2 linked regions of the Saccharomyces cerevisiae S288C genome follow. The protein of the gene in region 1 binds, or shares a complex with, the protein of each later gene. Each region holds a gene or a part of one and is shown in the gene's direction. Other genes may lie near its edges.

Region 1 (3,764 bases):
TAGTGTCGCAGGTAAAATCCCACCAATTGAATCTGTGCTATCTAAGGGCAATGCAGATTGTGCTGACGATAAAATTAAGAATTTTGATTTCAAAATTTGGGATGATTGTGGCGCCATGTACGAGGCAATCAAGGAGAAAGACCGTCAATACGGCCAATGTAGGATGCTATCTACTTACGATTTTCCCTATCGCTTGGACGGAAAAGACTATTACGTTGAATGTGGTGACAATTTCAAAGTTCGCTGGGATCGCTATACTCCACGTGAAGTGACGCCTTGGAGTGAGCGTTGCGACACGATTGATGAGGTAGGTAGTGTGTATACTATCCAAGGGTTTGATCTGAATTATGCTGGTGTAATTTTGGGCCGTTCCATTGGGTATGATGCGGCTAATGACTGCATCAAACTAAGACCAGAGCTGTATGACGATAGGGCCGGTTTCACCAAAAAGAAAAACATTCACAATGCAGAGGACGTTAAGCAAAAGATTATTATGAATAGCATTAATGTCCTCTTAACTCGTGGCGTGCGTGGTCTGTATGTTTATGCATACGATCCTGAATTAAGAGAGAGACTGCTTCGTCCATCAAAAAAATAGGAAGTACATAGTATAGACAAATTTTATAAATATTAACTTTTATTTGTTGCGATCTTCACTAATCTACGCAGATTTTGCCTTCGGTATATTAGCCTTCTTCTTGTTGAGTGCTTCCCAAGTGATTCCACCAAATACTATAAACATCCCCACCCATTGCTGGAAACGTACACTCTTACCGAAGACAATAATACTCAAAATCATCGAGACCATTTTCCTGGTGACTGTTATCATGATCAAAACTAAAGAGCCAAATTGTTCTAGAGTATAGAAAATAAAGCATTGTCCCATAGCGCCACAGAACGAATAAAGCATTAAATAGCCCCACACTTGTGGGTCCATCGTCAATACAGAAACGGCATTATCCCATTGTTTGCAGTCGATCACAATAAAATACAAAATATTCCACAATATCACGAAGAGGTTCAGTGTAAACATCAAGTGTGCACCTGTTATCAAAGTTTGTTTTCCCTTTTCTTTGGCCTTATTGGCCTTTAGTAGCTTATCTTGGGTGGCGTTGGTCAATCCATCAAGGAATAAACTAGAGAAAAGTAGTCCAAACCCTTGTAATTTGTTATCATTTCCGCTCTCATTAAAGGATCTCTTCAACTTTTTACCATCGTTGCCACCTATAGTGAAAATAGTGACACCGAGACTTACCAAGAGAGCTACAACTTTTTTTTGGCTTGCTATGGGCGTCCTATACAAAAGCAAATGCACCAACAACACGGGGATCATCTTGCATGACTTTGCTAACATGTAAGTGAGATAATCCACGTGCTTTAAAGAAGTTGTAGCCAGCGGGCCTGAACTACTCTGTGTAAATGATATCAACATCAATTGTTTCCAATGATCTTTAATCATTTTTCTGGGCGGATATTCCACCTTCTTCCAGTTTAAGTACAGGTAGCCCATCATCATTGCCACAGAAGCTTGTATGAGGGATATTACATTAGGGAATTGAAACTTTCCCATGGAGTTTGGCCAGGTTCTTGTAGCCAAAGGCTCCTGTACTAATGCCCACGTCAAAAAAGTAGCATATATACCAATCGCACAGATCACCAAACTGGATGTACTTCCCGCCATACAAATATACGAATACTGCCTTGTTTACTTCTTCTTGTTACGTTGTAATTCTGGTTCTAATTACATTGCTGTCATTTTTTCATGTTCGATGGGATCTACAAAACAACCTTTAGAAGCGATCTCAGGGAAGCTTTGGAAGAGAAACAGCTGATGATTCTGGCATTCCACAAACTACAACAACGAACCAAACGACATATTCCATTGCAGTGATTTGATTGGGAGTAAGCTTTTATAAACGAGCAGACCAATATGATTTACGTAGTATTTCGTTGTCTTTACCACATCGTTGTTCGTGATAAGTTCTGAAAATTTTTTTTGGAGTATATTTGCTAGAGTTAATCCAACAATATTAGCATAAACGAGCAGCTGGAGACTAGGTTATTTGAATTATTTGAGCATCAAAGTGATCAATTGTATTATATTACAGTGTAATTTTCTTTTTTTCCATATTGAATCAAAAACTAGCCACGCTTGAAACTAAAGATGGTTGCCTATTCTCCAATCATTGCCACCTATGGTAATCGTGCAGAACAGTTTTTAGAAACAGACTCAGACTTCGCTAAGTATCATGCGAAATTGAATAAAAAGTTGCAACACTTGAGGAGCCGTTGCCATTTGGTCACCAAGGATACAAAGAAATACTCAAGTAAAAATAAGTATGGCGAAATTAACTCCGAGGATTATGATAATAAAACTAAATTGATTGGTGTTTTGATTTTACTACACGCTGAAAGGGACTTGGCACTGGCTGAAACTTTGAAATTGAGAGCTCGTCAAAGAGGAAAGTTAAAGAAAAGTGAAGAAAAGGTTTTATCCACAAGATTGAAGAAGGCCTGCAAGACTGCTGATAAATTGGTTAACGTCACTCAAAATGAACAGCAATGGATAACTCGTGCCCAATATTTAGCGTTCGCTAAATTGGTACATTCAGAGTACCTAATTAATGGAAAAAGGTTCAAGAGGAAGGACAATGCCAAAATTTCGAACAACCTAGCCCTCGTTTTCGCCGCATTGGAACACTTGAAGAATCTAAGCTTATTAGCTGAAGAAGTTGTAGATAACATTGTTAATAAATACCAGTACTCTCTCAAGCAGTACGCGGGAAATTTAATTACAACGCCCGAAATAAATAACTTTATCGTGGAAAGAGTTCAATCTGATGAGAACAAGGACGATGAGCTTGTGAAATTGTTATTAGACAATGGATTCAATATGAAAAAAATTACAACCTCAACTGAAGATCAAAAGGTTACCACTAACATAAACTGGAGATCTTTCAACGCCAAGATAATCGATGCTGAAGTTGCTCAATTTTTGGAACAAGGTCTATCTATCCACCCAACTCAGATTACTCAATATACACAGAGGCTATCAAAATTGGAGAAAGCTTTAGACCGTCATGAATTTTTCATCGCAAACCACGACGATCAAGATGACATAGACGAGATGGTTGAAAATAGTTCTGAAAACAATCAGATAATTTTAGCCTACATTAAATATAATATTCTTTTGACCTCTATATCTCGTGAAAGAGATTTGTTTACTCATTTATGGAATCAATGGCTGAAATTAAATACTTCATTACCATCGAAGTTAACCAAATATAAAGAAATGGAACGTATTGTGAAGAATTTGACAAAATATTTATCGGACATAATGGAGCTACCTGGTGTGTATTCAGATGACGAGCTGCTAAGCCAATTAGACTTATGCAAGCTGTATTTCCAGTTATTTCTGAATACGGGCTGCCTGAGTGTTTTATATCAGTCGAAAGGCAGATATATGGAGGCGTTAGCTCTATATGTGGACGCTTACCGAAGATTAGAAAACAAATTATCTGAAATTGAATCTCTAGACGAAATCTTACTTCCAGCAAATCTTTTGTCATTGAATTCTGTCCGAAGCTTACAAAAGAGAATCGAAAACGGTGGTAATAGTGTCATTACTTTGGCGGAATACGAAAAAAGAAATCATGGTGGCAGCTTAGGGAAATATGATTTGACAGTGATTGAAAAATTGGATAGTAAAAAAATACTGCCAACGGACATACAATTGAAAAATTTATTCCCTCTCAAGCCAAAAA
Region 2 (3,085 bases), on another chromosome or scaffold:
TGTCCTTTGGAGAGTATGGTTCATGATTGGTGATTTGTCAAGACCCATTGGTTCTTCTATCAAATATATGGCGTTCCAGTTTACCTGTCTATTAGCTATTCCTGCCTTCATCTATTTTCTCATTTTCAGCGTGCATATTAAGACATTAAACGTGAATGGTATTAGTAGTAGCTTTTTTCCCGCTGAGTTTAGAAAAACTTTAAAATACAACAACGTTATTAAAGAGACTGTGGCAGAAGTTGCAGTGGGTTCCGCTGTTTCACTGAATCATGTTGGAACGGCAGGTGGTTACTTGCATTCTCATCTTCACAATTATCCGGCTGGTTCCATGCAACAACAAGTTACTTTGTATCCTCACATCGACCAAAATAACAAATGGATTATTGAGCTGGCTGAACATCCAAATGAAAATGTCACAAGTTTCCAAAATTTAACCGACGGTACCATAATTAAATTAAGACAGCTTAAGAACGGCTGCAGGTTACACTCACATGACCACAAACCTCCAGTTTCTCAAAATGCGGATTGGCAAAAAGAGGTGTCATGTTATGGATACGAGGGCTTCGAAGGTGATATAAATGATGATTGGATAATTGAAATCGATAAAAAGAGATCAGAGCCGGGACCTGCCCAGGAACATATTAGGGCTATTGAAACCAAATTTAGGCTGAAGCATTATCTAACTGGTTGTTACTTATTTTCACATCCTGAAAAGCTACCTGAGTGGGGATTCGGGCAGCAGGAAGTTACGTGTGCATACTTTGCAAGGGAAGACTTAACTTCATGGTATATTGAAGAAAACGAAAACGAAATTTCTTTGCCAAATCCAGAGAAGGTTTCTTATAAGAAAATGAGCTTTTGGCAGAAGTTTGTTGCTATCCACAAGTTCATGTTCTACCTTAACAATTATATGGATACTAGTCATGCCTACTCATCTGAACCAAAGACTTGGCCTCTTATGTTGCGTGGTATTGATTTTTGGAATGAAAATGGCAGAGAGGTGTACTTTTTAGGTAACGCTGTTTTGTGGTGGTCTGTCACAGCATTTATTTGCACGTTCATCATTGGAGTGGCTGTTGAGCTTCTTGCTTGGAAATTAGGTGTGAATATTCTACGGGATAAGCACATCATAAATTTCCACTATCAGGTCTTTCAGTACTTATTAGGCTTTGCCGCCCACTATTTCCCTTACTTCTTTGTGGGGCAAAAGTTATTTTTGTACGATTATTTGCCGGCCTATTATTTTGGTATCCTAGCATTTGGTCATGCTTTAGACCTGATTTCAACCTATATTTCTAACAAAAGAAACAATACTGGATATATAGTGGTGGCTATTTTCATGGTTGTATGTTTCTATTTCTTCAGCGAGCATTCTCCACTTATTTATGCTACTGGATGGTCGAGTAACCTGTGTAAGAGGTCCAAGTGGTTAGGAAGCTGGGACTTTTATTGCAATTCACTATTACTATCCGATAGCCACTATGAATTAAACGCTGAATCATGATCCATCCACCCGTATTCAGATTGGACATTCGTTTAGCAAAAGATTTAAAAACTACATTTGAGCTAAACTGCGGGAAAGATCTACGTACATATGGAAAAGAACCAGATGTATATGAAAAAAGAGTTCATAACCGGTCACAATGCAACACTTTCCTATCTTGTTCTTTCGTTGAATTTCACTAAACAACTAACGAATACCAAAAAAATGATCCGTATTAAGTAATGTATATACATATATATTGTCAAATACAACAAGATATTTAATAAACAAAGAATAGATGAATTAGGATTGAACCGGTAAAAGGAAAGCTGTGAACATGGTATTTCTCTTATCGGGCTTTTCAAGATCACCACTGAGTGGCATTTTAAGCACATGAGGAGATGAACGTAGGCAGATCAAAACATTCAGCCGATGATAAAGACTACAACAGCTATTTGATTGTCTTTGCATAATCGCCCTAAATTGGAGGCTTCTACAAAACAACTAATTACATATTCTTACTTCCTCGCCCGTGCAAAAGGATAATATATCTCTCATTTGAAAAAATAGCCATACTTAACGTTAATGTTTAACTTACGGGTTGGCATACCTCTTCTTTAATACAAATCAAAAAACGTAGCTTTCTTACCACCCTAAAACAATGGCAAATACTGGCTGTTTATCACCAGGTGCATTTTTATCAAAGGTTCCAGAATTTTTCCAGACTGCGAATGAAAAACATATAACTGTGCGTCTAACGGCCAAAAGACTCATAGAACACGATCCTGTGGAAGGGAATCTTGAATTTGATTCTACCAACCATCCTGACTATGATGTATCTAAAAAGGCTTCTGAAATTTCAGTTAGCTCAAGATCTGACAGAGAATACCCACTATTAATCAGAATGTCTTATGGCTCGCATGACAAGAAAACAAAATGCTCAACAGTGGTAAAAGCAAGTGAGTTAGATCAATTTTGGCAAGAGTATTCATCTGTATTTAAGGGGGGCATGCAGAATTTGATCAAGAAGAAGAAAAAGAAGAGTAAGAACGGTACCATCAGTAAGACAGGAAAGAAAAACAAGGTAGCGAAGAAAAACTGATGCACGTGACACTTGAGTCAAAAGGCATGTGCGCCTCTTGTTATCTTTGGATGTGTAGATTAAAGGATGGCAACGTAGATATAAAAGATTAATTGCATAAAGTTGTGTAGATATAAATTTAACTAAACTTTAGAATAAACGTTTTGAGATGACTATTTTTGAAATTCCTTTCATTCGTCCAGGCGTTCCATTACAATATTTCCTGATGGATATATGCCGCTAACGTCAGATATTTTGGTAGATAAATCAAGCTCTCTTCTTGGTACCGGCGTGATCAATTTGAAGCTATACTGGTGCTGATAATTAGCAGGTTGGTATACGGGTAAAGTATCGTTTTCTGAGTTCAACATGTCATGCAACTGTAATTCTACGAAGGCATATATCTCCTCCGTTGGTAGAGATGCGTCAAACTTTCTCACTAATCTCTGCCCATTTTCTAGTCTGATCGCAACTTTGCTTGCATCTTTATCAGAAGAGGGTTCGGGTTTTAGTTGGCTTTT

What was found. The genes of interacting proteins can lie anywhere in the genome.
Region 2: SRP68 (region 1) and SRP14 share a complex: the UniProt entries of both Saccharomyces cerevisiae proteins name them as parts of the fungal signal recognition particle (SRP) complex.

What each region holds. Positions count from the first base shown.
Region 1 is NC_001148.4:86,353-90,116, forward strand, and holds the start of SRP68 (signal recognition particle subunit SRP68), read left to right. Parts: upstream 1-2,164; coding exon 2,165-3,764. Other genes in the region: YPL245W (uncharacterized protein), read left to right, coding at 1-598; UDP-galactose transporter HUT1, read right to left, coding at 662-1,681. UniProt on the Saccharomyces cerevisiae protein: Component of the signal recognition particle (SRP) complex, a ribonucleoprotein complex that mediates the cotranslational targeting of secretory and membrane proteins to the endoplasmic reticulum (ER).
Region 2 is NC_001136.10:290,637-293,721, forward strand, and holds SRP14 (RNA-binding signal recognition particle subunit SRP14), read left to right. Parts: upstream 1-2,144; coding exon 2,145-2,585; downstream 2,586-3,085. Other genes in the region: putative dolichyl-phosphate-mannose-protein mannosyltransferase PMT5, read left to right, coding at 1-1,504; clathrin-mediated endocytosis regulator UBX3, read right to left, coding at 2,756-3,085. UniProt on the Saccharomyces cerevisiae protein: Component of the signal recognition particle (SRP) complex, a ribonucleoprotein complex that mediates the cotranslational targeting of secretory and membrane proteins to the endoplasmic reticulum (ER).